Saccharomyces cerevisiae S288C: one gene and its partners. The gene in region 2 interacts genetically with the main gene of each other region. Each region holds a gene or a part of one and is shown on either strand. Other genes may lie near its edges.

Region 1 (7,079 bases), 240 kb from region 2:
TATAAAGAAGCATTAAACCACTTGATAGGATTTACATCCAGGTTAGCGCATGATCTTGGTTTGGATCCGAATAATATGATCGCGCAAAGTGTCAAACTCTCAAGTGCAAGTACTGCTCCGTATGTTGAGGAATACACAAAATTATTAGCTCGATGTTTTTTAAAGCAAGGTGAGTGGAGAATAGCAACACAACCGAACTGGAGAAACACAAATCCGGATGCAATTCTTGGTTCTTATCTATTGGCTACACATTTCGATAAAAATTGGTACAAGGCATGGCATAATTGGGCCTTAGCTAATTTTGAAGTAATATCCATGGTTCAGGAAGAGACTAAGCTCAACGGAGGTAAGAATGATGATGATGATGACACGGCAGTTAATAATGATAATGTGCGGATTGACGGTAGTATCCTAGGAAGTGGTTCTTTGACTATTAATGGCAACAGATACCCGCTAGAGCTTATTCAAAGACATGTTGTTCCAGCGATCAAGGGCTTTTTTCATTCAATATCTCTATTAGAAACAAGTTGTTTGCAAGACACGTTGAGGTTATTGACTCTTTTATTTAACTTTGGTGGTATTAAAGAAGTCTCACAAGCCATGTATGAAGGCTTCAATTTGATGAAAATAGAGAACTGGCTTGAAGTCTTACCACAGTTGATCTCTCGTATACATCAGCCAGATCCTACGGTGAGTAATTCCCTTTTGTCGTTGCTTTCTGATTTAGGGAAAGCTCATCCACAAGCTCTCGTGTATCCTTTAACTGTCGCGATCAAGTCTGAATCTGTTTCAAGACAAAAAGCGGCTCTTTCAATAATAGAGAAAATTAGGATTCATAGTCCAGTCCTGGTAAACCAGGCAGAATTAGTTAGTCACGAGTTGATCAGAGTAGCCGTTCTATGGCACGAATTATGGTATGAAGGACTGGAAGATGCGAGCCGCCAATTTTTCGTTGAACATAACATAGAAAAAATGTTTTCTACTTTAGAACCTTTACATAAACACTTAGGCAATGAGCCTCAAACGTTAAGTGAGGTATCGTTTCAGAAATCATTTGGTAGAGATTTGAACGATGCCTACGAATGGTTGAATAACTACAAAAAGTCAAAAGACATCAATAATTTGAACCAAGCTTGGGATATTTATTATAACGTCTTCAGAAAAATAACACGTCAAATACCACAGTTACAAACCTTAGACTTACAGCATGTTTCTCCCCAGCTTCTGGCTACTCATGATCTCGAATTGGCTGTTCCTGGGACATATTTCCCAGGAAAACCTACCATTAGAATAGCGAAGTTTGAGCCATTATTTTCTGTGATCTCTTCGAAGCAAAGGCCAAGAAAATTCTCCATCAAGGGTAGCGACGGTAAAGATTATAAATACGTTTTAAAGGGACATGAAGATATAAGACAAGATAGCCTTGTTATGCAATTATTTGGTCTAGTTAACACTTTGTTGAAGAATGATTCAGAGTGTTTCAAGAGACATTTGGATATCCAACAATACCCGGCTATTCCATTGTCGCCTAAATCTGGTTTACTAGGATGGGTACCAAATAGTGACACATTCCACGTTTTGATCAGAGAACACCGTGATGCCAAAAAAATTCCGTTGAACATTGAACATTGGGTTATGTTACAAATGGCCCCCGATTATGAGAATTTGACTCTTTTACAAAAAATTGAAGTATTCACGTACGCTTTAGATAATACAAAAGGCCAAGACCTTTATAAAATATTATGGTTAAAGAGTAGGTCGTCAGAGACATGGCTAGAACGTAGAACAACTTATACGAGATCTTTAGCAGTTATGTCCATGACTGGTTATATTCTGGGACTAGGTGATCGCCATCCAAGCAACCTGATGCTAGATAGAATCACCGGTAAAGTTATCCACATTGATTTCGGCGATTGTTTTGAAGCTGCCATCTTAAGAGAAAAGTATCCAGAAAAAGTGCCATTTAGACTAACTAGGATGTTAACATACGCAATGGAAGTTAGTGGAATTGAAGGCAGTTTCCGAATTACTTGTGAAAATGTCATGAGAGTCTTAAGAGATAATAAAGAATCATTAATGGCGATCTTGGAAGCTTTTGCGCTTGATCCTTTGATCCATTGGGGATTTGATTTACCGCCACAAAAACTTACTGAGCAAACTGGAATTCCTTTGCCGTTGATTAATCCTAGTGAATTATTAAGGAAGGGGGCAATTACTGTCGAAGAAGCGGCAAATATGGAAGCAGAACAACAAAATGAGACCAAAAACGCCAGAGCAATGCTTGTTTTGAGACGTATTACAGATAAATTAACGGGCAATGATATCAAGAGGTTCAATGAATTAGACGTCCCTGAGCAGGTTGATAAACTGATCCAACAAGCCACTTCTATTGAAAGGTTATGTCAACATTATATTGGATGGTGCCCATTCTGGTGACTGCGGTGTCATTTTTCATTTCGTGCTTTGTTTACTATTTATTTTTTTTGTATTACGCATTTGTATACGTGTGCAAGTATTGTGTATTATTATTATTATTATCATTATTTTTGTAATATCTCGTCATTATGTGAAATGAAGGATGATATAAGGTACATAAATTGTGAAATCAACTCCATTTAAAACAACTTTATTGGATAGATGGCACATGGTACTTTTCACAATAGGTATTGGCAATATCAGTCCATTTTGTTATGAGCGGATGTTTTTCTTGCAAGTCAAAGTTTGGATCAAATATGGACTTACTAAGTACTTTGTTAATGCGTAATTCTTTTTGAGCATCAATATATGCCTTACTGAGGTCCTCATCTTCATCACCAAAACGTGTTCGTAGGCCAAGTAAAATCCCCATAATTATGCCAACTTGTTTCCCTAATTTAGCGCCCGTTGGGAAACCATCATTGAAACCCTCTTGCAGCTTTTCTTCTTTAGAACTCACTATTCCGTCCAAGTACCCCCTCTTGCTATGATTCTCTCTTAACTTCACTAAATCTGGAGATCGTTCAGTTTCGACATCACTGTCTGATGCCCATACATCGTCCCAAGTATTCGACATCTCTATATACTATTGTAACACTGTTCCTTTTTTGTTCTCTTCTATCAAAAACCTTTCTCATCGTTATTTTTCACTCTTTTACTTCGCGTATTTCAAAGCAATCAGGAAGTAACTCAAGCGAACAAGTCAATGCTATAAGAGAAGTAAAATAGAGAGACAGCGAGAAATACTGGGGGAAAGTATTGGCAATCACTTGAGATGTTTGAAGGGTTTGGTCCAAATAAAAAGCGTAAGATATCAAAGTTAGCCGCAGAGCAATCATTGGCACAACAACCCTGGGTTGAGAAATACAGGCCCAAAAACCTAGATGAAGTGACAGCTCAAGATCATGCCGTTACTGTTTTGAAGAAAACCTTAAAGTCAGCTAATCTACCACATATGTTGTTTTATGGTCCCCCAGGAACTGGTAAAACGTCTACCATTTTAGCGCTAACAAAAGAATTATATGGACCCGACTTGATGAAATCAAGAATATTGGAGTTGAACGCTTCTGACGAACGTGGTATCTCTATTGTAAGAGAAAAGGTAAAAAATTTTGCAAGATTGACTGTATCCAAGCCTAGCAAACATGACTTGGAGAACTATCCGTGCCCACCGTATAAGATCATTATTCTCGATGAGGCCGATTCAATGACTGCCGATGCACAGAGTGCATTACGTAGAACAATGGAAACCTATTCAGGAGTAACAAGATTCTGTTTGATTTGTAATTATGTGACAAGAATTATTGACCCGCTAGCGTCCCGTTGTTCCAAATTTAGATTCAAAGCCCTAGACGCAAGTAATGCCATTGACCGTTTGAGGTTTATCAGCGAACAAGAAAATGTTAAATGTGATGATGGAGTTTTGGAAAGGATCTTGGACATTTCGGCAGGTGACTTGAGAAGAGGCATTACATTATTACAATCCGCTTCCAAGGGGGCGCAATACTTGGGTGATGGTAAAAACATAACTTCTACCCAAGTGGAAGAATTAGCTGGTGTGGTACCTCATGACATTCTAATAGAAATTGTTGAAAAAGTCAAAAGTGGTGATTTTGATGAGATTAAGAAATACGTCAATACGTTTATGAAAAGCGGTTGGTCTGCTGCGTCAGTAGTTAACCAACTACATGAATATTACATCACCAACGATAACTTTGATACGAACTTCAAAAATCAAATATCTTGGTTGCTGTTTACTACGGATTCCAGATTAAACAACGGAACGAACGAGCACATCCAATTATTAAACTTATTGGTTAAAATATCCCAACTCTAATATACAGGCATCTTTATATAATTGAATATAGAGGCGACATAAAGTAAGAATAAAAAAAAAAAAATCTATCCATAATTCCTCTTATCTTCTCAGCACATCACCTAAAAGTCATTTTGATACAAGTACTCTTTAAACTGAGCGAAGGCTTTACCACGATGAGAAATAGCATTCTTTGCGTCTTTGCTCATCTCTGCGTAAGTCAGTCCATGACTATCAAAAGGTTCAAAAATTGAATCCCAGCCGAATGTAGTGGGTCCCCGGCTTGGAACGATCTTGCCTCTTGTAATACCTTGAAAGAAGTGATATTCACCCCGAGAATCAGCAAAACAAATGGTGGTAACTGCTTCAGCGTTTTTATTTTCAAAGGGTTCCAACATTTTCACAATTTTTTCCAATCCCATGCTCTTTAAAAACCATTTTATATAAGCACCTGGTAGACCGTTAAATTCGTCAAATCTCAACGCAGTGTCTTCCACAAACACTGGCTTACCCTTACCCAAGGCCGCAACAGCTTGCTTTCCCTTAGCTAACGCAATGGCATTCAGATCCGTGTCCTGCAATTCTTCCAGGTCTAAGGCCTCATTGATTAAGTGGATGGTTTTGTTGTTGTTGTCGACCTCTTGAGTCAAAATCGACTGCACTTCCTTTAACTTGTTGGCATTGCCAGTGACAAATACAATTTCGTTGTTGCTCATTCTGCTATCGTTCGTTTTTAGATATCTCTATGTGAGTGTTTCCTATGCTTTGAAGACCAGTGTTGAAAGCTGAAGCTCGAGAGAACGGTTTCGAAAATAAATAATTTTTTTGCTATTTGATACATTTGTATATATAACGGAAATGGCGGGTTTTGAAAAGTATAAAATACAAGATTATACAATGATTATTGTTACTATCATTATTGATGATGCTGATTCTTCTAATTAGCAGTTGGAGCATATTCTAGTTCGTTGCTGTTTTCGTAATCATACATATCTAGCGCAACGATACAAGATTCTCTGACGACATCGACTTCATCGTTGAGGTAAGATTTCAAGACGTCGACAACTTCTGGAGAAGCAATGGCACCCAAGGCTTCAGCAGCTTCATGCCTAACCATTGGAGCTTCTTCCTTTCTGCCCAAAACTTCAATCAAACTTGGGACAGCAGCCGGACTACCTATTTGACCGAAGACGTAGGCGATTTCATGCTTGAAAAGGGAGGATTCTGCACTGAAACCAGTGGCCAAGGCCAGGATTGCTTCATCAGTACCGATATCTCTCAGTCTGAACATGGCTCTGTATCTTTGGAACAAAGGTTGCTTAGGATCATTCAATAAGGCCTGTAGTTCTGGGATGGTAGCATCCTTTTCTAATGGTAGAGGTGGGGCTGGGTCAATACTCGAGTATAGGGATTGTTGCAAGTTTTCCTTATCCTTGGCACCTCCATGGGTCCAGTTGATTCTGTTAATGGCCAGTTCACAGGTTTCTCTCACAGCAACGTGTGGATCCTCCTTAGCAGCCTTATTTAGGTCATCCAACGAATCCTTGTCACCTAGGGCACCCAAAGCCTCAGCGGCTTCGTGTCTCACCATTGGTTCTTGATTTTGATCTAACATAACGTGTCTTAAAGTTGGAGCAGCGTCCAAGTTCTTGGTTTGACCCAACACGTAGGCCACTTCGTGCTTCAACAACTCAGACTTGTCATTGACGAAGGATTCGGCAATGTATTCGATGGCCTTTTTGGCTTCCTCTGGCTTAGTGGCAAATTCTTCAGCAACAGTCTTTAAGTTGAACAGAGCTCTAAATCTGTTGGCCAAAACTGTTTTGCCGGACTTGTTGACTAAGATGTCCCTTAGTTGCTCTAGAGTGCATTCATCGACGTTTTCTTGGAAATGTTTTTCAAAGTTAGTAGACATGTTTTTTTTTTTCTTTCTTGCGTGGTATGTTAGAAGGACTACAGTTTATCCTAACCTAAACCTAGAGCTACCGTCAAATATACACGTGTATTCACTGGATTTGCCTTATGTAATTTATATGATAAAAACTTTTCAGCTCATCGAGAAAAATTTTCTTTCCTCCCACGCAGGATAGAGAAAAAAAAAAAATTTTTTTTTTTTCTTGTTTCTCACTGCATTCTACAGGGATTTCTGTGGAAGGATTACCTCTATTGTTCAAAAGATAATAAACGTGGGAGTTTATCTGACGTTCGTCTTTGCAATTCCATTGTCTTTTTTTTTCTCTGCGGGTCGAATGATCGCCGAACCAAAGGACTATACGTAGTTATTTAGTTTCTAATATACTTCGCGATATTTTCTGCAGTCTCGCTACTGGCCGTTTTCCCTACTTGTTGCATAGCTTCCTGATATCTCCTTTGTAGGTCTGGAGCAGAGTTCTCGTTGACCTCACCTTTTGTTCTTTCTTCGCCTGGGAACGTGTATTCTCTCTCAACGCCTTCGTCCTCATCCCTATCCACAAGACCATCATTGGCATCCTCTTCGAGGTCGCTAATGGCATCTATGCTGTCGTTGTCGCTGGCTGCAGCGCTGCTCTTCTCGTTTAACCCTAGATCCTTCATCAGGCCATTCAATGATTTTTGCTTTCTCATCTCTTCCTTTTTCTTTTTTAGGTTCAATGCTTTTTCACGTTCTTGCTTATAGTATTGGTCGTATTCATCAACTTTCTTGTCTACGCATTGCATAAATTCGTCGAATCCGTCTCCGGTAAAACTGGAAACGCCCACGACGTCTAGCTGGGAATAGAATTCTTCAAGCATCAGTGACATAGAATTG
Region 2 (6,841 bases):
ACCCCAGTCATCTTAGGCTCAGTGGATCCTGTTTTTTCGGTCTTCTCGATGGGTCCAAGCAAGCCTTCGTGAATACCGGCAATGTACTCCTTATAGGCGCCTCTACCTAAACAAATAACACCACCAGATAATATAGGGTCCTTTGTCAGGGCGTCTTCACTTATTATATGCTTCGGTTTTGGCATTGTATAGAAGATACCTATAACGTTTCTCCAGTCGAAGTTCTCCTTGAACTTTTTACCGATTTCTGGATCAAACGAGTCATCTTCTTCAGCAGGATCTTGAATGATTTTATTGAACGGTAGTAGTGATGAAATTTTACTGGTTGAAGAACCACTTGGTTTTGCTACCGTTTGGTTAGGCTCTTTAACTGGCTGCCCATCCGTCGATGCCAATATTTCCTTTCTCAATTCTCTGATTCTGTTGGCTACATTAGTTCTAATAATCCCTTGCCTATCCTCTTGAACTAATTCATAGTCCAACCCTGCATAATACAGTACAGGCTTAACATATCGTCTCCAAACTTTCAACGAACTCTCCAGATAATCATTTGGAGGAGGTGCAATAAAAACAGTGATCTTTCGTGGCACTTTGTCTACCTCCATGGACTCCTCTGCCAAAGGCTTCACCAAGTCTGTTGCATGGCTCAGAATCTGACGTTGCTTGTATTTGTCATAGGCTATGCCACCGATGGATACTGTTAACACAGACCAAAAGATCATCCAGTTTCGAGAAGGCAGCCTCAAGGCGGGTATACCAAGGGCTTTTAAAGCCGGATTGGTATAGCCAGGCTTCCTAATAGGCTTAGCAATAGGCTTTCCTGATTCAGAAGACATGGTCTATTGAGCTTCTTTTGAGAACAATGGACTTTAAAGCTATGATGTCTTTGCCATCAGTACTATTTTTTCCAGCCTTCGGGCTTAGAAAGACAGCTCCTAAAAATTTGGATTTTTCACCACATTATCTATACAGATCGTTTAAACTAGATACATGACTTACGTTTCTATTATTTAGCACAATCCTCGTGAGCGTGACCTTCGTCGCTCCAATTCAAATTGAAACGGCCCTCTGGAACGACGTACTTCTCTATTTTATCAACAACTTCCTGCGGAGTGGAGGCAACTTGAATGATTTCACCATTCTTCACACTGATGAACCGTTCTTGAATAGAGTGTTTGAGGAACTCCAATAATTTGTCATAGAACCCATCGATATTGAACAAGATAATTGGTTTATTATGAATCCCCAGTTGCGACCACGTGATACATTCCATGATTTCTTCAAAAGTCCCGTATCCACCAGGCATAGCAACAAACGCGTCACTCAAATTTGCCATCATTCTTTTTCTCGTATGCATATCTGGTACAATCGTTGTTTCCCCATACTCTTCAGAAATAGGAGTGGCGCCCTTATGATTTTCTACAGACTCCAACAATGCTTTATTAACATCTTCTTTATCCTCGTCTGTCCTTTCCTTAGACACAAGTGCATTTGGAATGATACCGTGAACCTGTCCGCTTAAATCAGGTCCCATCGTAGACCTTGCTATCTTGCCCATCAAACCAGTAGTGCCTCCACCGTATACCAATTTCCATCCCAGCTTATGGAAAAGGGCTCCTAATTCTTCTGCACTTTCTGAGTATAGCGCCTTAGCGCCAAATGAAGACCCGCAGTAAACACACACAGACTTGCCGCCTACTTGGCCACCACGGCTGCTATTACCTCCATTTTTTTCCATTGTCATCGCCGTTTCTTAGTACTGGATTGCCTGCGATTTACTCTAGGGATCTTCCTATTCAACTGTTGGAAATAATTCTCCTTCCTTAAACGCCCAAAACATGATTATATATCACTGCAGACGGAGTAGTTGACAGCAGTCATCTACCCTAAAGGTCATGATGAAACGTGCTTGGCAATATAAGATGCAACTGCAGTCACTGTGAATATAGGCCAGCGGCGAGACGGAAGCATTACACTTTTACTTTTTATGTGTTACGGTTTTTTAAATAGAAGAAGGATAGGAACTAATGGATGCGTTGACTCCCAGGGACTCCCCCAAGCGCGATGACTCGATGGCCACGAGTGCGGCCACTGCTGCTTCTGCCAAGCCTGATGCTCTGACGATAGGTAAAGAAGGCATTGTCCACGGGCACATCCATAACTACAACAACCTGACCTATATCCATGGTCACCTTCACCACAGCGCGCCTGTGAACGACAGTAGTGCTTCGGCAACACCTGCAGCCGCAGCTGTTGCTGATGCCGCTACTTCCGCATTTGCATCTGGAGCTAGCCATGATATGGGTGGTGATTGCCACGTCAATGAGAAATGCAAGGAGTACACCGACTGCCAACATTTCGAGTTCTTGAATTATCACAATAATCCGTCATTAACAAAATATAATGATACTGCAACGTATAATTCTAATAATCATTCTTTTGCAAACAATTTCCATTCGGTAGCTTCTGATCCGACAAGTCCCCAACAGAATTCTAAAAGCGACCTACCACGTAGAAAAGATTCTTGGTTTAACGACGATCTGATACTGCTGCCCTCTTCCAAGAAAAATAAACCGAACCCACCACCTGGATCCGATGATTGTTATTGTACGCCCAAGATTTTGGAAATATGTTGTGACGAAACTCATCCCAAAAGTGAGGCTAATATAAAACAAGGTGAATCTGATCAACCGACAAAGAAAGACATATCTGAGAACGGCAATGATGTTGCAATATTCACAGATGTAAAGAACGATCACTTGATGCCAAATTTTAACCTTCATGATCAGTACTGTAATAGTACCAATCACGACTCTCACAATCACAATAATACTGTACCAGATAGCTTTTCTCAGCTGATGTCTCACTTATCGGAGATTGATTGCGATTTGACCTGTGACACCCCATGCACGGCTAGCACGAGCGCGACTAGTGGTCACAAGTTTGTTCAAGATCATCAATCATCAAATAATGATGACGTTTTCCATAAATACTGCAAATTTTGTGAGGAGAGCACTGATAATCAACCTTGTTCTAAGCATATGCATTTAGAGTCAAAGCCACCTCAACTACCACCCAAATGTTCATCTTTACGAAAACCTACAAACACTTTGCAAGGTACAAATCATGCTTATCACGAACATATCTTAAATACTGATATGGATTTGAAGATTTTGGAAGATTTATGCAATATTTCTTCTTTGTATGAAGTACCGTTTGGAAAACACATTAACCACCACGACCACAATAATGCCGGTAACGGCTGCGATGGTTCGAGCACAGGAAATAATGAAAACGGTAACCAAACAATGAATCTTCTATTATCAAGCATTAATAGATGCAACCCTAAAAATAATCTTAATGGAAGCAATAACAATACGGCTGGAGCAACTTCAACTGATCATCAACACCATCACCATAGAATACAGTTTCATTCTCACAAACCAAATAGAAACAATATTGTGAACAATTCAGGGATTAGCGCGGCGAACACAACAGCCGATCTAACTAACAACGATTTAAATGACTTAATTTCAAGAGAGTATAGTTATGAAAGATTTAGAAATCAAAGTGAGCCCCCTTCGCTACCCAAAGTCACTCATCAGAATCAGAAAAATCGTAGATCTTGGCCTACAAAAGATCTAGAATCTACTGATTTCAGCTCTTTGGAAGACTCATTACCTTCTAGCATCTCTCCTCCTATACAGACAACAAGCACTATAAATTTCAACTGGTGTTTTAAAGAAGAGAAAAACAATGACTTAAAATGCAAATGGAAAGAATGTCCTGAGTCTTGTAGCTCACTATTTGACCTACAAAGACATCTTTTGAAGGATCATGTCTCTCAAGATTTCAAACACCCTATGGAACCATTAGCTTGTAATTGGGAGGACTGTGATTTCCTTGGAGATGATACATGTTCCATAGTGAACCATATTAATTGTCAACATGGTATCAATTTTGATATTCAATTTGCCAACCCAGACTCATTTTTGCCTGGTAGTATATCAAAGGAAAAACATCACTTACTACATTGCCCCAACCCACAAACACACGAAGTTTCTAAAGCAGATGGAGCACCTGATATGACGTCTGCAAATGATGTTTCCAATATACCGCCAATCAAGCAGCCGGAACAGGTGATTTGCCAATGGGATGGTTGCAATAAGTCATTTTCCAGTGCTCAGGAATTAAACGACCATTTAGAAGCAGTACATTTAACCCGGGGTAAGTCTGAATACCAATGCTTGTGGCATGACTGCCATCGTACGTTCCCCCAAAGACAAAAATTAATCCGTCATTTAAAAGTGCATTCGAAATACAAACCTTATAAGTGCAAGACATGTAAAAGGTGTTTTTCAAGCGAAGAAACTTTAGTTCAGCATACCAGGACACACTCTGGCGAAAAACCTTACAAATGTCACATTTGTAATAAAAAATTCGCGATTTCAAGTTCTTTGAAGATTCATATAAGAACCCATACTGGTGAAAAACCTTTACAATGCAAGATTTGTGGTAAGAGATTCAACGAATCGTCAAATTTGAGCAAACATATTAAGACCCATCAGAAAAAATACAAGTGCTCTGACTGTTCCAAAAGCTTTGACGATTTGGGAAAATTGAACTCACAGAAAGTGAAATGCGCATTGGAAAGAAAACCATATTTATAAATGTGATCATCATGGTCCAACGTAAGAAGGGCGGTTTTCAGGATCACATAAATGCATAATTAGAAACATTTCATATTTTACCTAGACTACTTTTTATTTATAATTTTTCGCAAACTCTTTTTTGTAAGCTTTTACAGTACACTTTTTTTACGTAATAACGTATTTCAAGCTTTATTTTTTGTATACGTTTCAGAAAAGGGGGTGGGGGGGAAGGACATTGTATATATAGATCCTATGAGTGACAACTAGGTAACCGAAGAAACACTATTAGATATATAGTTTGAGGGATAGCATAAGTAGAACTTAGAAATGAGTTTAGTACCATATGAAGAAGGTTCGCTGATTTTAGATGATCCTAATTCTAAATCAGTGGTGGTTGTTAATCCAACCTCAGGAACTTTATCATTTTTCCAACAGGACAACAGTAATAATGACTCTGAACTAAATGAAGACCAGACTGCATCTTTATCAGCACTGGACTTTCCTTCAGGGATTCATCAATACAAAAGCCCTATTGCTTCCTATGTGTGCCCGCAATGTGGTACGGAAATTAACCCTGATATTATAAACAGAAGACAACTTCATCGTCGAGCCTCTGCTGGAGTAGAATCAGAAAGCAGTAGGCTCAGTATTCCAGAGAACACTGTGCCACTTGGATTTGAATTTGCCAATTCAAGCTTTTCAAGAAGATATTTTCAGTCATTGGAAAGAAATCATCGGCACTACGCCCTACAAAACGATAGTAACAATAAGCAGGGACAGTTCAGCAAAAACAAATACTTTATTCCAGATGATTTGTTTATCCCCGGATACTTTCGTAAATTTTTCAAAATATTGTCTTTGCTGGGAAATGGTGCAAGAGGTTCTGTTTACAAAGTTGTACACACAATTGGTAATACTGAATTAGGTGTTTTTGCACTAAAAAAAATACCTATTGGAAATGATATGGAATGGTTTAATAAGTGCATACGGGAAGTGAAAGCGTTGAGTTCGCTAACTCACAAAAGTGCCAATTTGATTACGTATAATCATGTGTGGCTCGAAATGGATTCTTCGGTTGGATTTGTCAGATCCATTGATGGGAGCCAATCGGATTCACAAGAAGAAGTTCCTTGTATTTTCATTTTACAACAGTATTGCAGTGGCGGCAATTTAGAAGACTGTATTCTAAGAAAAGTGTTCAATAGGTTCTCAGATACCGAATCACCTGAAGAGAGGAAAAAAAAATTTAGAACTCGCAAGAAAAATCACGGTAAATCAGGAGAAGTTGGCCTATCTACGGAACAGCTCGTATCCATTATAAGGGATATTGCAAGAGGTTTACACGAACTGCACAGTATTGGCCTAATACATAGGGACTTGAAACCATCCAACTGTTTATTATTGACTCCATTTAAAAGTGACAATGAGAATGACAACGTATACGACAGGGAACACAATTCAGATGAGTTTTTCCCATCAATTGTTATTGGCGATTTGGGGGAAAGTCAGTTGGAAGGAGAGTCCAGATTGGGTACTGGTTGCACAGGAACATTAGAGTTTACAGCACCAGACCTTATTATCCAGGGGAGACCAGTTTCTTCTTCTACGTTGCCTTCAAGATCGAGTCACACATACAATGAATACACCTTTGCTTCCGATATGTATTCTCTAGGAATGATTTGCTATTTTATTGTCTTCGGTGAATTGCCCTTTGAACCACAGTTGGATATAGTTGATTTGAAGGTACGCATCAAAAATTTTAGGTTCGACACTGAAGGTATGATTGAAAAGCATCAAGCGATGAAATTGAAACCAATAGACCGTAGAATATTTCACCTAATGGACGCTCTTTTACAACCAAATAATGATGCTAGACCCACAGCGAAGACAGTGGAGGAGACGTTAGATGAAATGCTAATAAATTCCAAACCCGGCAAAAAATTCTGGAAAGAAAATGTGGATAGCACTTTGAACTTCAGTACAATCTCGGAAGTGAATGAGAATACCAACAGTTTTACTGATGATTATATTGACGGAGACAACGTTACTTTATCATTACCAGCACCAGAGGAAAATTTGAGCACCGTATCAACCCAAAACCTCCAAAAGTATTCTGCTTTAAATAGAACAATCCAGGTTTGTTACAAACTAGTTTCTATGATATTAACGATAATCATATTTAAGTGTAC
Region 3 (9,738 bases), 300 kb from region 2:
TTTTCTGTCCTTCAATTCGTGCTTGCCAAAAAAAAAATGCAGATCCTAAAGAGCCTAAAAAAATGTGTGACTAATAATTACTCAACGAAGCATAACCATATATGCTTATACTTGTGTACTGACTTACACATACATATATACAAGTGCCACACTGCAGGCTCCACTTGCCAAACTTCCTTTACTTTATCATAAAAAATACATATATATTTTGCAAGTATTTCAAGAATGAACCAGATACTAAATGCACAAAGGCTGATACAATTATCACAATTTCACCCTAAACTGAAGAATATATGGTACCTTGTTGCGGCCGCCACGTTCAGTGTTTGTAATGAGCCACAGGAAATACCTAAATTATACCACTATGCCATGCTACTGAGTAATGATAATGCACACATGTATAGATTCACATTAGCTTCCCAAACCATTGACTTACTGCGCTCAGAATTACCAATGAGAAAAACTTTGATCAATGAGAATTACCAACAACCTACTTTTTTCCAAAAGCAATTGACAGCAAAATTTAGAGAAGTTATTCTTAAAACAGGACCTCTGGCCGGCCTTCCAAGAGCGATCAATGGCCTGACTATGCTAAAGGAAACTACTCCGGACATTTTAGTACCGCACTTAGACCCAATAGACCCGTGGGAGGCTGCCATGGGAAACAGTTCTCCCCTTTCGGAAACCTCTATGAGAAGGAAGCATGACAAGACAATCCAGGAAAGAGATCATACCATACAGAACGGCTTACGGCATTGGAATTCAATATACAACAAAGTCTCAACCCGCGTGGTAAACAATCTAAACTCTTCGTACCCAGACTTATGGTATTATACACTGGTCCATGTATATGGCCCTTTGTTTGCCTTTGATGAGATACTATCTGCGCAAGAGACAAGTTTAGTGATAATTGCTTCTTTGGTTCCACAAGATGTTAATCCTCAATTGCGTGGGCATTTGAAAGGTGCCTTGAATATTGGTTGTGATAAGGAAACTGTGGAGGCAGTGAGAGGATTGGCTATACTAATATCTCAGTGGTGTGGTGTTAGTTGGAAATCTGGTGTTGTAAAATTGTAAGCCCCTTTGCCGATCGGCCACTCGTTATGCTCATAATATATGTACCCTTATTCATTAAAATTAATATATATATATGTATACTAACAACGGAGAAATGCTTGAACTTTTCTATACTTCTATCATTGTATGCAAAATACTAACTCACTTATTTGTCTTCTTTGCCGTTAACCAGATCACTTTCTATTAAACATATCAAATCCAAAAATTGACAAATTTAAACCCTTACCGCCATCGGAATTACTATGCTCTTTACTCTTTTTATCCACCGATATGGGTACTGAGTCTCGTTTATGGCGTAATTCATCATTCATTTCTGAATCTTTTCTTCCATATAACTGCCACCACCATTGGACTTTCTTCAGATCCGGCGAAATCCACTCCACTTTTTCTTCCTCTTCAAGGTTTTGATCGTGCTCATTCATGCCGCTTCTTTTTCTCTGTATGAAATTTGGATTTATGAACTGCTTTCTTCTAGATCTGAAGTAGTCCCAGACACTTTTAGTCTTGTTTGGCAAATTCTGTTGAAATTTCTCCTTCTCGCTATTGGAAAGGAATGTTCCATATTGGCATGAATACAAGTGGTAAACTAGTCTTCTTAAAAATCTTTCGTTGAATTCAAATAGATCTGGGTTTTGCGTCAAAAGTTGGTATACACAGTCTAAAAATTGTTGGAAAACTGGGGAGACGAACTTTAGACTTTTCTTGTTCAATTTAAAGTTTTCGTTAAATTTTTTGGAAATTCTACTCAAATTAATTAAATTCGTCTCATCTTCACCTCCTTCATCATCTTCAGCATAATCGTCTTGAGTGTTAACACCTATGTCAAGATCATCGCCATTGGTATCCACATCGTTGAAGTTGGAATGCATAGTGTTATCATGAAATCTAATATCAGAGTTTAAATGACCACTTCTTTCCAAAAACCGGTGACCAAAAGAGCACCAATCTTTTTCCACTAGGATCATAAAACCTTCAAAAGTTCTATAGAAAGGATCCAAACAAATTTCTAATAGTGATACAACTTGACTGGTTCTGTCCCAACCGTCAGAACAATGAACCAAAACGTTGGAATGATTGAAAATGATGGACTTTAAAAGCATATCAACGGATTTTAAAATAAGAGTGTTCAACTTCAACCAATTGGAAAATTTTTGACTCCTAATTAAATTCTGTTCCAGTGGTAAATTCAAATCGCCACCTTGGCAGATAACTTCCGTCATGTATGCAGCTGTGTTGGAAACAATATGAATGTTATCTATACCAAGAAATAACCGTGTAACTGTGGGCAGTTTTAGACTTTTATCGACACCCATATTGTTATCAGCTAAAAAAAAATTATAATTATCCATATTTTCTGTCCCGCCACCCAACGCCATCTGTGCTAATGCATTTGTTCTGGGTCTGGCATCTACTATTACATGTTTCGTTCTTCTAATATCTTTATTACAAAATGAGTTGAAGCTTTCCCAAACTAATTTTTCATCTTGAATGGACCTCTGATTGATCAACCCCGGTAATGGTTGAGATGACCTAAGAATGTTGCAATCTGTTGCCTTGTGATGATAAGTTAAAACAGGAATTCTTTTCTGTGATCTAAACTTCGAAGCATGCTTCAATAATATATCTGACGTGGATCTTGGTACAAAAAGTTTTGAGGGATACGTTGGACAAAATTCATAGTGTTCGTTTACCGTGGATAGCCTCCAAGGACATGTTTCATCTTTACTGTCGAGGCCCTGCCTTCGAAATTCCTTAATTGGGTCATATATATCCCAGCTATCGGGTGAAGGTAGTTTCCTTTCCAGATTGTTGGATATGTAAATAAATGCATATAGTTGCGTGATATTGGACAGGACCGTCAAATTTAAGATGGAATCATACACCTTTCTTGCCTGTAGATGTAAATCACCACCGAAATCCAATGAGAATACCGCATAATCTTTCCCAATTACCTTGATATTTACAAAAGACCATAGATCCTTACCCTGGTAAAGCTTGTAATTCTGTGAATCCGTTCCCTCCAATTGGATTTGATTAGTGGAAGTCAACTTGGACAGTAATGTACTACCCGGGTTTTTATGCACTCCATAGATCAAAGGATATGGAAACCAAAATTCCGTCGACAATTGTGGTGACTCAAAGATCAAATGGTGAGTAGTCAAATGTAAAGTACCTTGTGTGGCCGTACCTCTTCTATGCAGCACTACATTAGATACTTTGGCAATCTTGATGTACTCCATCTTTGCGGAATGGTATACTATTTCTTTTCCCTCTTTTTAGCACTATTACACCCCGCCCACAAAATAAAAATAATAACGACGACCTAATCTCACCAAGTGACCCTTGTAAAACCTCCTTTTCTTTATAATGTTTCTTTTCTTACTAATATTTGGTACATTTAGGGTAGTGATAAAAGAATGGCAACATTGTTATTATTGTGAAAAATGAGGAAAATAGAAAATCAGAAACCCTAAAAAGTGATTTTACCCTATCAGAAATATTCAAATGTCCTAATTAAAAATAGTAAATCCCCTAAACATTCAGATTGTAAACTAGGGTTGAGAAAATGACTCATCCACCACTGTCTTCTTTCCTGCGGCATTCTATAGATTATTGTGAATGACTCTTATTGATGAGATGGCAATAACTTTTGAATATCAGAGATAGGAACCTCCATGTCGTAACGATTGTGTCACCTTGAGTAAGCATCGAGAAAATCCAATCTTTTTTTTTCCGTCATAAGCATTTCTGCCATGCTATTTGTATATATATAATTACTAATACGTCTTCTATAGTATGCCTTATCTCTTTTTTGAAGCGCTATTTAAGTTTAAGCATCGAAAAACTAACATCTATAGTTAAAATTAGTTCTATAAAGGAAGAGCAATACAGTACATAGACAGGAAGAAAAGAATGACATCGATTTATACATCAACAGAGCCTACGAATTCTGCTTTTACTACCGAGGACTACAAACCTCAATTAGTTGAAGGAGTAAATTCTGTACTTGTCATTGGATCAGGAGGGCTCTCTATTGGTCAAGCTGGTGAATTCGATTACAGTGGTTCTCAAGCTATCAAAGCTCTGAAGGAAGATAACAAGTTTACTATATTGGTTAACCCAAATATCGCTACTAACCAGACTTCTCATTCCCTGGCGGACAAGATTTATTACTTGCCCGTTACACCAGAATACATCACATATATCATTGAACTTGAAAGGCCGGATGCTATACTTTTAACCTTCGGTGGTCAAACAGGTCTAAATTGTGGGGTGGCTCTGGATGAATCTGGTGTTTTGGCTAAATACAACGTCAAAGTTTTAGGTACTCCTATCAAAACTTTGATCACTTCTGAAGATAGGGATCTTTTCGCATCTGCGTTAAAGGATATCAACATTCCCATCGCAGAATCATTTGCTTGTGAAACCGTGGATGAAGCTTTGGAGGCTGCTGAAAGGGTCAAATACCCAGTTATTGTCAGATCTGCATACGCTTTGGGTGGGTTAGGCTCAGGTTTCGCTAACAATGCAAGTGAAATGAAGGAACTTGCCGCACAGTCCTTGTCGTTGGCCCCACAAATTCTTGTTGAAAAATCTTTGAAAGGTTGGAAAGAAGTTGAATATGAAGTGGTCAGAGATAGGGTTGGTAACTGTATTACAGTATGTAATATGGAAAATTTCGACCCACTTGGTGTTCATACTGGTGATTCTATGGTTTTTGCTCCTTCGCAGACCCTATCAGATGAAGAGTTTCATATGTTAAGATCCGCCGCAATTAAAATCATTAGACACCTTGGTGTTATTGGTGAATGTAATGTCCAATACGCTTTGCAACCTGATGGGCTAGACTATAGAGTTATTGAAGTGAACGCACGTTTATCTCGTTCCTCTGCATTGGCGTCTAAGGCCACTGGTTATCCCTTAGCATACACTGCCGCCAAAATTGGGCTAGGCTATACTTTGCCAGAATTGCCAAACCCAATCACAAAAACTACAGTGGCTAACTTTGAGCCATCTTTGGATTATATTGTGGCAAAAATACCTAAGTGGGATCTTTCTAAGTTCCAATACGTGGACAGATCCATTGGTTCCTCTATGAAATCAGTTGGAGAAGTTATGGCTATTGGTAGAAACTATGAAGAAGCCTTTCAAAAAGCATTAAGACAGGTGGATCCATCATTATTGGGATTCCAAGGTTCTACTGAATTCGGCGATCAACTTGATGAAGCCTTGAGAACTCCAACTGATAGAAGAGTCCTTGCCATTGGTCAGGCCTTAATCCATGAAAACTATACTGTTGAGAGAGTTAATGAATTGAGTAAAATTGATAAATGGTTTCTTTACAAGTGCATGAACATTGTTAATATCTATAAAGAGCTTGAATCAGTTAAATCTTTAAGTGACTTGAGTAAAGATCTCTTGCAGAGAGCCAAGAAATTAGGGTTTTCAGATAAGCAGATTGCGGTTACTATAAATAAACACGCCTCCACAAACATTAACGAACTGGAAATCAGAAGTTTAAGAAAAACGTTAGGTATAATCCCTTTTGTCAAGAGAATCGATACTTTGGCCGCAGAATTTCCAGCACAAACCAATTATTTGTATACCACTTACAATGCTACAAAGAACGATGTGGAGTTCAACGAAAATGGTATGCTGGTTTTAGGCTCTGGTGTCTATCGTATTGGTTCATCTGTAGAATTTGATTGGTGTGCCGTGAACACCGCGAAGACATTAAGAGATCAAGGCAAGAAAACTATCATGATAAATTATAACCCAGAAACAGTTTCCACAGATTTCGATGAAGTTGATAGATTATACTTTGAAGAATTATCGTATGAAAGAGTGATGGACATTTATGAGTTGGAGCAATCTGAGGGTTGCATTATTTCTGTCGGTGGTCAATTACCTCAAAACATTGCCTTGAAACTTTACGATAACGGCTGTAATATAATGGGTACCAATCCAAACGATATTGATAGAGCTGAGAACAGACACAAATTCTCATCTATTTTGGATTCTATTGATGTTGACCAACCTGAATGGAGTGAATTAACATCAGTAGAAGAAGCAAAATTATTTGCTTCTAAAGTTAACTACCCTGTGTTGATTCGTCCCTCATATGTTCTTTCCGGTGCGGCAATGAGTGTTGTTAATAATGAGGAGGAACTGAAGGCTAAATTAACTTTGGCATCTGACGTTTCTCCAGACCACCCAGTCGTCATGTCTAAATTTATTGAAGGTGCTCAAGAAATTGATGTGGACGCCGTTGCTTATAATGGTAATGTCTTGGTACATGCCATTTCCGAGCATGTTGAAAATGCGGGTGTGCACTCCGGTGATGCTTCTTTAGTCTTACCGCCACAACATCTTTCTGACGATGTGAAGATTGCCCTAAAAGACATTGCTGATAAGGTCGCAAAAGCTTGGAAGATCACTGGCCCCTTCAATATGCAAATCATCAAGGATGGGGAGCATACATTGAAAGTGATTGAATGTAACATTAGAGCTTCTAGATCATTTCCATTCGTTTCAAAAGTTTTAGGCGTTAATTTTATTGAAATTGCTGTCAAGGCATTTTTGGGCGGTGACATTGTACCAAAACCTGTTGATTTGATGCTCAACAAAAAGTACGACTATGTTGCTACTAAAGTTCCTCAATTTTCCTTTACAAGGTTGGCTGGTGCAGATCCTTTCTTAGGGGTTGAAATGGCATCAACTGGTGAAGTTGCTTCATTTGGTAGAGATTTAATTGAAAGCTATTGGACTGCTATTCAAAGTACCATGAACTTCCATGTACCACTACCTCCAAGTGGTATATTATTTGGAGGTGATACATCTCGAGAATACTTGGGCCAAGTGGCTTCCATAGTGGCCACTATTGGTTACAGAATATACACAACTAATGAGACCACTAAAACGTATCTACAGGAACACATCAAAGAAAAGAACGCAAAGGTTTCTTTGATTAAATTTCCAAAGAATGATAAGAGAAAATTGCGTGAACTATTTCAAGAATATGACATAAAAGCTGTTTTCAATTTAGCCTCCAAGAGAGCTGAGAGCACTGACGATGTTGACTATATTATGAGAAGGAATGCTATTGATTTTGCTATCCCATTGTTCAATGAACCTCAAACGGCTTTGTTATTTGCAAAGTGTTTGAAGGCAAAAATTGCAGAAAAGATCAAAATTTTGGAATCTCATGACGTTATAGTTCCACCAGAAGTCCGTTCCTGGGATGAATTTATTGGTTTCAAAGCATATTGATTGTGCAAAAGAAAAACCTGCCTCTAATTGTATTACTGTATATTATATAATGGATTTTTTTAGAGATATTTTTAATTTCAAAGAGACTTCTTAGTGTATATTCTACCCCAGTATTATTATCTTGAACAAAAGTAGATCGCAAAACTTATCACTAAAATTCAAATGTATTTTCGAAGTGAGTAACGCATGGGCCGTGGAAAATAATTCATCAATCAATACCTCAGGCAAGTGTATTTACTATGCCTTTATATCTTCCGTATAATAATAGAGCGTTGATTAATTGAGATGTGCAACAATGTGACCAGTACACGTAGATTATAGCATTTTTCACCGATCAAGCTTAAGCTTAATGAATATGCAGTAGGGGGCCTTCATAAAAAAAGCTGTCCTTCTGGTTGTTGGCCATTACTTGGACTTCTTTCTTTCTGAAATGTTCTGCTAGGTGGAGCAACATGGGTAGATGATGTATAGAGAACGTTTACGCTACGGAGAGAATCCGCACTAAAATTCGTAGTGACAGATGCTATATACGCGCTTGCTAAGGGATAACCCATCAAGCCGGTCTGCTACGTTAGTGGCATGAGGCATATCATCTTCGTCTTCATCAATAGAGTTTGAGTTAATCCAAGCGGTTGCATTCTCGAGTGTTGTTAATAATCTAGTGTCAACCAATTTCTCTGTAGTAGCTTCTATGACAGAGATATTAAGTGTGTAATCACTTGTGCCCCAACATGTTGAGTAGTGGATATACGTATTGGATTCGGTAGAATTTAGCCATGCAGCGCTCAAAAAATTCCACGTGAGGAATATTTCCCAAGGGATGAAAATTTTAAAGCTTCCATCTACGGTCAAGATAGAGTACCTCCAAGACATACGTGGAAACTAGTAGACATGTGTGATGATAGCTATGATGCTGTAGAAGAATACTATTTCAACAAAAGCGTAGCCGGGATTAGTGGCCAGGAGAACTGGAATAAGCAGTTAGCTACCCAAGTGTATTCAAGAAGTTTACAACCAGAAATATTACCAACCCTAAAACCTCTTTCATGTAACAAAGAGAGGGCCAATGCAGGAAAAAGAGTTTCAGAAGAAGAGCAGATAAATGGAAAACGTAAGAGAAAAGATTAGAAGTTTTGAAAGAGTTATTTGTAAAAAGAACAATTATTAGTTAAGAATAGTGGTCGCATTTAGTTTAGAGTAACTCTAGAGCGGTATTATATATGCTAGTTATAGACAAAAACGTAAAAGTGGGTGAATGTTAAAGTCCAGAACATCCCACTACGTCAATGAAGTAGGCTCGATGTTCATAGACATGTAACCAGTCTTCAACCAAACCGCTCATACCCTCTCGAAATCCATCCTTTAAAGTTAACCTGTTATTTTTACCACGGTATTCAATATCTTCCGCATTCTGAGGTAGACCAACTTTGTTAATAAACATCTCTAAACCAGCCGGATGATAGAATGGTGGAACCATAGGAATATAATCACCTGTATGCACAACCCTAAAATAGCCCTTACGAAATTGAATTTCATCTTTAAGAATTGACTCCTTTTCTATAGCATCTGTTTCAAATAACTCGTCTACCCATTGTTTCATTTCACTGTTAAATATCTTTGGTGTTGCGAATGTCAGCACTAACGGATCAAAGCCTCTTATCTTTAATTCAATCCCAGCCAAACTTGCTAATGCTGCCCCCAAGGAGTGCCCAGTGACAACGATCCTATATTCCGGAAAGCTTTCCAGAATCGACTCCATTTTTTTAAAGACGTCCATCCCGAGAGTTTCTGTGAACCTTAGAAATCCTCTATGCATTTTACAACCTTCACATTCTCTGATTTTTCCTTCCTCTATAAGCTTACGATATTCCTTAACGCAAAGGGGAGAATAGTTAACAGGATATATTTCAAAATCACTAAACCAATCTTGTCTTGTTGTGGATCCTCTAAATGCTAAAATAACAACCTTTTTTCCGTGGTCAACAGCCAGATAACCCGAGCCTAATTCACCTTTTTTTGCATTAAGAACTAATTCAACCACTGTTTGACCCGCTGTTGGGTTAATTATCTCATCATTGCAGAAGTTAATATGTGGTGGACAACCTCCGTCGTTGAAGGTTTTATTAACAAGAAGTAAGTTGTCAGATATGCAGCTTGATATAGAGCTTGCCTTAATAAAATATACTAGACGCTCATAGATATATGGAGTGATGGGCAGGTTGGACGAACAATGAACAACAGGCATGAGTACTACAAAAAGATATAGTATGAAAAGTCTGGCAGGCATCATTGTTATGGGTTTCTCAATCGAAGTTTTGGATAGTTCCTGGCTACAACTTTTTTTTTGGAGCTCAATCAAAATAATTCATCCAAGGAAACGAAGGTTGAGAC
Region 4 (7,124 bases), on a different chromosome or scaffold from region 2:
GAATTACTGTATACAAGGCACTGCAGGGGTTTCTTACATAGACGTCCCTGCAGATTTTATTGAGTATGAAAAACCCTTAGAAGGAAACGACCGTACAGGAAATGAATTACCGATGATATTAACTCCAAACATATGTGGCCCTGATCCGTCGAAGATCAAAAAAGTCGTACAGCTTATTTTGCAACATAAAAATAAAAATATTCTGATTGTTATTGGAAAGGGTGCGGTAAAAAACTCACACGAAATCCGCAGACTAGTAAATACGTTCAATCTACCATTTTTACCCACCCCAATGGCTAAGGGAATTGTCCCAGACTCTTCTCCACTGAACGTTTCATCTGCAAGATCTCAAGCATTGAAAATAGCGGATATTGTTCTTGTTCTCGGGGCAAGATTAAACTGGATATTGCATTTTGGTACTTCACCCAAATGGAACTCAGAATCCATATTCATCCAGTTCGATTCCAATCCCGAAACCTTGGGGGATAACAATGTCTCACCTGGTGCTGACCTTTCCATATGGGGAGATATAGGCTTGAGCGTAACCGCTTTAGTTGAGGAATTGACTCGCCAAGATTCCTGCTGGAAGTATAGTGGTGTTAAGCAAGAAATACGAGAGAAAATTCAACTGAATCAAACTCGTCTATTGAGGAAAGAGAAGACTAGAGGGGCACAATTGAATTACAACCAGGTTTATGGAACATTGAGGCCTCTTATCGATGATTACAGGACAATACTTGTGACGGAGGGAGCAAATACTATGGATATTGCGCGTATTTCATTCCCTACAGACGCTCCAAGGCGCCGTTTAGACGCAGGGACCAACGCGACTATGGGGATTGGGCTCGGATATGCTCTTGCATGCAAGGCATCTCATCCGGAACTCGATGTGGTGCTGATTCAGGGTGATTCCGCATTTGGATTCTCTGCCATGGAAATTGAAACGGCAGTAAGGTGTCAGCTGGCATTGGTCATCGTTGTGATGAACAATAGCGGTATTTACCATGGAGAAAAGGATATAGAGGGTGATTTACCTCCAACGGCACTAAGCAAGAACTGCCGTTACGATCTCGTAGGCAAAGGACTGGGTGCCAATGATTTTTTTGTCAACACAATAAGCGAACTGAGCAGATGCTTCCAACAAGCCGTGCAGCTTTCTCGGACTAAAAGAGAAACAAGTGTCATCAACGTTATCATTGAGCCTGGCGAACAAAAGCAAATTGCCTTTGCCTGGCAGAATAAACCGCGTTTATAGTAAATATGCATGTATATATATATATATATATATATATATGTTCATCTCTCTTATAGATGTCAATCTAAATACTTACAACACACATTAATGAATACCTCGTATACGTTTAAGGGCAAATGTACTCTCGCAGAAGGAAATATTGCAAGTAACTTGGATAACTAAAGCCGAGTTAAAGATCTGCCAATTGAACATAACATGGTAGTTACATATACTAGTAATATGGTTCGGCACACATTAAAAGTATAAAAACTATCTGAATTACGAATTACATATATTGGTCATAAAAATCAATCAATCATCGTGTGTTTTATATGTCTCTTATCTAAGTATAAGAATATCCATAGTTAATATTCACTTACGCTACCTTTTAACCTGTAATCATTGTCAACAGGATATGTTAACGACCCACATTGATAAACGCTAGTATTTCTTTTTCCTCTTCTTATTGGCCGGCTGTCTCTATACTCCCCTATAGTCTGTTTCTTTTCGTTTCGATTGTTTTACGTTTGAGGCCTCGTGGCGCACATGGTACGCTGTGGTGCTCGCGGCTGGGAACGAAACTCTGGGAGCTGCGATTGGCAGTGGAACAGTGGTAATTCCTACGATTAAGAAACCTGTTTACAGAAGGATCCCCACCTATGGGCGGGTTATCAGATATTATCAGGTGGGAAATTCGGTGGAACACAGTGGAGCCTTGTCCTCCGGGTTAATGTCGCTTTTGGCATTGGCCCCTGCTCCTGAGAGAAGAAATATACTGGGGAACCAGTCTTTACCGACCGTTGTTATCAGAAATTCACGGAGTTCGGCCTAGGTCGGACTCCGATGGGAACGGCAACGGTTGTTCCGTTTGACTTGTCGCCCGCTACGGCGTGAGCGTCAAGGTCTGTTGAGTGCAATCGTAGGACGTCATTAGTGGCGAACCCGATACCGATTACTGCTGCTGTTCCAGCCCATATCCAACTTCCAATTTAATCTTTCTTTTTTAATTTTCACTTATTTGCGATACAGAAAGAAAAAAGCGATAGTAACTATTGAATTTTGTTTGGATTTGGTTAGATTAGATATGGTTTCTCTTTATATTTACATGCTAAAAATGGGCTACACCAGAGATACATAATTAGATATATATACGCCAGTACACCTTATCGGCCCAAGCCTTGTCCCAAGGCAGCGTTTTGTTCTTGGAAACGCTGCCCTACACGTTCGCTATGCTTCAAGAACTTTTCTGAGCACTTCATGATGCATGTTTGTTCCTTATTGGTTAGCTTTGATGTTGTGAAGTCATTGACACAGTCTGTGAAACATCTTTCTACCAGATTAGAGTACAAACGCATGAAATCCTTCATTTGCTTTTGTTCCACTACTTTTTGGAACTCTTGTTGTTCTTTGGAGTTCAATGCGTCCATCTTTACAGTCCTGTCTTATTGTTCTTGATTTGTGCCCCGTAAAATACTGTTACTTGGTTCTGGCGAGGTATTGGATAGTTCCTTTTTATAAAGGCCATGAAGCTTTTTCTTTCCAATTTTTTTTTTTTCGTCATTATAGAAATCATTACGACCGAGATTCCCGGGTAATAACTGATATAATTAAATTGAAGCTCTAATTTGTGAGTTTAGTATACATGCATTTACTTATAATACAGTTTTTTAGTTTTGCTGGCCGCATCTTCTCAAATATGCTTCCCAGCCTGCTTTTCTGTAACGTTCACCCTCTACCTTAGCATCCCTTCCCTTTGCAAATAGTCCTCTTCCAACAATAATAATGTCAGATCCTGTAGAGACCACATCATCCACGGTTCTATACTGTTGACCCAATGCGTCTCCCTTGTCATCTAAACCCACACCGGGTGTCATAATCAACCAATCGTAACCTTCATCTCTTCCACCCATGTCTCTTTGAGCAATAAAGCCGATAACAAAATCTTTGTCGCTCTTCGCAATGTCAACAGTACCCTTAGTATATTCTCCAGTAGCTAGGGAGCCCTTGCATGACAATTCTGCTAACATCAAAAGGCCTCTAGGTTCCTTTGTTACTTCTTCCGCCGCCTGCTTCAAACCGCTAACAATACCTGGGCCCACCACACCGTGTGCATTCGTAATGTCTGCCCATTCTGCTATTCTGTATACACCCGCAGAGTACTGCAATTTGACTGTATTACCAATGTCAGCAAATTTTCTGTCTTCGAAGAGTAAAAAATTGTACTTGGCGGATAATGCCTTTAGCGGCTTAACTGTGCCCTCCATGGAAAAATCAGTCAAGATATCCACATGTGTTTTTAGTAAACAAATTTTGGGACCTAATGCTTCAACTAACTCCAGTAATTCCTTGGTGGTACGAACATCCAATGAAGCACACAAGTTTGTTTGCTTTTCGTGCATGATATTAAATAGCTTGGCAGCAACAGGACTAGGATGAGTAGCAGCACGTTCCTTATATGTAGCTTTCGACATGATTTATCTTCGTTTCCTGCAGGTTTTTGTTCTGTGCAGTTGGGTTAAGAATACTGGGCAATTTCATGTTTCTTCAACACCACATATGCGTATATATACCAATCTAAGTCTGTGCTCCTTCCTTCGTTCTTCCTTCTGCTCGGAGATTACCGAATCAAAAAAATTTCAAAGAAACCGGAATCAAAAAAAAGAACAAAAAAAAAAAAGATGAATTGAAAAGCTTTATGGACCCTGAAACCACAGCCACATTAACCTTCTTTGATGGTCAAAACTTATCCTTCACCATAAATATGCCTCGCAAAAAAGGTAATTAACATATATAGAATTACATTATTTATGAAATATCATCACTATCTCTTAGCATCTTTAATCCTTTTCTACATCAGATAACTTCGGTTTGTTATCATCGTCTGTATTGTCATCAATTGGCGCAGTAGCCTCAATTTCAACGTCGTTTGACTCTGGTGTTTGTTCATGTGCAGATCCATGAGATGATGAACCGTTGCCCTTCTCAATACTCTTCTTATCAAGTATTAATTGCTGTAGCTTTTTTTCAATATCTGAGTCCTCTACAAATTTATTGAAAATACTCAAAATTTTCAAAAACGTTTCGTTGCTTGTCTTCCCTAGTTTCAAATAATGCAAATAAACATTTGAAATTATTGTTAATATGGATGAAATGAGGATTTTCTGGTCTTCCTGTGTTTCACTCGAATTTAGCAACGGTAGTAATCCGCCCTCAATTAATTCTTCTACCGATTCCATCTCATTAGTTGGAATTTCGATTTTATTGATGAGCGTCTGCTCTAGCGTTACCACTGCAAATTCACTTATCTGCTTACACGGATTGATGCATTGATGTGCCAAAGCTTGAATAATAGCGAATATCTCGTTTTTACGCAGATCGTTATTATCTTCCAGCAAGTGTGATGTTAGTTGAATGGATTTCAATGATAATTCGATCGATTTCTTGTATGGATTCTCCTTATCAATTTTATGACCACTTTCTGTCAATTTCTTGTATTCTATTTCCCAGTGATTTCCAACGGCACCCATTGATGAAATTTCATCTAATAGTCCTAGGACCCACATGAAGTTCTCATTTGTCAAAATATTGCTGTCTGTCTTGATCGATTCATTTAAATATTCAAAAATGCTCTCGCTCTGCTCTTTCATTGCTGTAACTTTTCTTAAAAATTTCCAAAAATTCTCATTTCCTAGTAAAAATCCTCTATAAAACTCTGATTCGGTCAATGAAAATAGTCTCTTCAAAAATTCCTTACCTTGATTAGTTGCAAAAAATTTTTGGGTAAAAATATCCCCCTTTTTTAACAGCTCATCGTTTATTAATTTGGACAAGTACTCCGTCTGATCCGCACATAACGAAATTAACAAAATTTTGTATGTTAGCATTCTACGAACAGTCCTTTTCGTGAGGCCTTTCGTGTGAGAAAGTTGGAAAACTTTTTGAAGTATGAACTTTCCTAATTCTTTCTCCTCTTTGCAAAATAGAAATAATGCAATAGTCAATTCGATGATAAATAAAAGTTCTGCTTCAAAATACCTGGAATTATCTGCGTTTTTCTCAGTTTTGGCGGAGTCTAGTAAAGTTTTTATTAAATCCGCTGTTATATTTGATTCATTTCCAAAGACAGAGGCGGCAATATTACTCGACTTTATGCACTCCATCGCTTTTTTTGAGGATTTGATTTCCTCTTCTGTGGGTTCTTCATCACCTTTTAAATAAGAAGCAAATGTTGATAAGAGACCTTTGCTTTCTTTGCTCTTGTTAATAGAAATTTCAGGAGATGGCTTAGGCAAGTTGCTTAATTTCAGTCTTTTTTGTAAATCAGGGAAAATATCAGGAGACAAAATCAAGTCTTCGTACAATGTTAGTATAATATTAACAATGTTTAACCATAATTCCTTGGAGAAAATTTTAGGATCTTTGTTCCTGCGAATAATCCGGAAAAAAACAACTGTATTTAGTTGACCCTTAAATGATCTACCAAATCTAACAGCATCTGTACTAACCGGGATCTCAGTGTTAGTGTCTTCGAATTTAATTTGCACCAGTGGCATTGGGCCATATTCAAAAGCTAAAGTTGAAAGTTCATCGTCATGGCTTGAATTAATCAAAGTAGTGCCCTTAGCAATGGAGTTTAGTATATCATTAAAGAGATCTTTGAAGTCAAAAAATGCGGAAATATAGGAACATTTGTCCAAACTTGTTATCATTCTGGTAGATATATGGTCATCAGATGCAACTACGTAAATGTTGAATAAAGTACTGACAATACTTGGGCCAACTTGTTTAAAAATTGCTCTATCAAAGTTCAAAAGCTCCAAGGGTGTTAATTTATCCATGACAGATTGTGTGTCTTTTTTTATTTCAGTTATAACAGTAGTTGAAGATATCAAGTTATTCCAAGCATCTTCAAACCACTTTTCGTTGCCGTGGTGCTCTTCAGGCATAACAATTTCTTTATCTCTGATTGAACAGTAAATTCTATCCAAATACCAGAATGGGAAGTCTTTGTGATTACAGCATCCCTTTAAGTTACCAGAGTAATCTTCAAATGACATGTGTTCCTTCACTTGAGGGTTATGTAGGTCAGTGTTCAACATAATAATTGAATAACTTAAAATGAAAACAGAATCAGCGTCTGGTTGAACAGTAGAAATGTCATCCTCCGCGTTGTCACTGATTTTGGATGGATCGTAATCTTGATTTTCACAATACGCAGACGAGAAGGCTTCGATGATTCTTTCAATTTGTTGCGATTCACCAGGCAACCTAAATTTCGTCAACAAAATTCTAATAGCTTCATCGACCCTTAACCCTGAAAAATCAAACAAACGAATATATTCATTCAACAAGCTTACTTTGTCCGGATGGCAAAGTAGCAAACCGATTGTTTTTTTATTCATACGGTTGTTATTATTGAAAAGAAACTCCGCAATATCTTTATCGGAGTCGGAAGCAATGAAACCTTTTTCTATTAACATCGGAATACCCTTTTTGGGCTTTTCATTGAATGCATTGGTACATTCAATAAACTCTGTTTTACGGTCCCTCTTTTTTAAGATTTCCATTTCATTCTTTTGCCTGCCAAATTCTTCTCTGTCAATGTCCTTCATGTGATCGAACATATCATCGACTAGGGAGACCAATCCCTCAAGGCAAATGGGTGGTACACTTTCTGTGGTAGTTAAGGCGGATTCTGGTAAGGCCAATTTAGTCAAAGCCTTCAAAAAGTTTATGGAAACGTCTGCCCTATCGAGATTACAATCGAAATTGATAAAAGTAGAAGTAAAAAAAGATGGCGACCTAGTCCATAAGATGGATATTTGCTCAATTAGAAGTTCCTTTATTATTGATGGCTTGTTCTTATTTTCAGAACTCGAGTTATTTGCGG

The links.
Region 1: of LOG1 (region 2) and HAM1, changing one suppresses a phenotype caused by changing the other (phenotypic suppression), as found in Saccharomyces cerevisiae (2 studies listed by BioGRID).
Region 3: of LOG1 (region 2) and CPA2, changing one suppresses a phenotype caused by changing the other (phenotypic suppression), as found in Saccharomyces cerevisiae (one study listed by BioGRID).
Region 4: of LOG1 (region 2) and URA3, extra expression of one rescues a mutant of the other (dosage rescue), as found in Saccharomyces cerevisiae (one study listed by BioGRID).

The regions. Positions count from the first base shown.
Region 1 is NC_001142.9:564,393-571,471, forward strand, and holds HAM1 (nucleoside triphosphate pyrophosphohydrolase HAM1), read right to left. Parts: upstream 5,008-7,079; coding exon 4,414-5,007; downstream 1-4,413. Other genes in the region: phosphatidylinositol kinase-related protein kinase TOR1, read left to right, coding at 1-2,436; YAE1 (Yae1p), read right to left, coding at 2,627-3,052; RFC2 (replication factor C subunit 2), read left to right, coding at 3,251-4,312; LIA1 (deoxyhypusine monooxygenase), read right to left, coding at 5,229-6,206; GTPase NPA3, read right to left, coding at 6,575-7,079. UniProt on the Saccharomyces cerevisiae protein: Pyrophosphatase that hydrolyzes the non-canonical purine nucleotides inosine triphosphate (ITP), deoxyinosine triphosphate (dITP) as well as 2'-deoxy-N-6-hydroxylaminopurine triphosphate (dHAPTP) and 5-bromodeoxyuridine 5'-triphosphate (BrdUTP) to their respective monophosphate derivatives.
Region 2 is NC_001142.9:328,260-335,100, reverse strand, and holds LOG1 (Log1p), read right to left. Parts: upstream 1,745-6,841; coding exon 1,007-1,744; downstream 1-1,006. Other genes in the region: Tim22-complex subunit TIM54, read right to left, coding at 1-836; ZAP1 (Zap1p), read left to right, coding at 2,028-4,670; protein kinase IKS1, read left to right, coding at 4,980-6,841.
Region 3 is NC_001142.9:627,194-636,931, reverse strand, and holds CPA2 (carbamoyl-phosphate synthase (glutamine-hydrolyzing) CPA2), read left to right. Parts: upstream 1-3,990; coding exon 3,991-7,347; downstream 7,348-9,738. Other genes in the region: PXP2 (Pxp2p), read left to right, coding at 226-1,077; phosphatidylinositol-3-phosphatase YMR1, read right to left, coding at 1,251-3,317; ABM1 (Abm1p), read right to left, coding at 7,849-8,220; YJR107C-A (uncharacterized protein), read left to right, coding at 8,239-8,475; LIH1 (putative lipase), read right to left, coding at 8,606-9,592. UniProt on the Saccharomyces cerevisiae protein: Large subunit of the arginine-specific carbamoyl phosphate synthase (CPSase).
Region 4 is NC_001137.3:112,748-119,871, reverse strand, and holds URA3 (orotidine-5'-phosphate decarboxylase), read right to left. Parts: upstream 3,706-7,124; coding exon 2,902-3,705; downstream 1-2,901. Other genes in the region: PXP1 (putative indolepyruvate decarboxylase family protein), read left to right, coding at 1-1,255; protein transporter TIM9, read right to left, coding at 2,398-2,661; Arf family guanine nucleotide exchange factor GEA2, read right to left, coding at 4,072-7,124.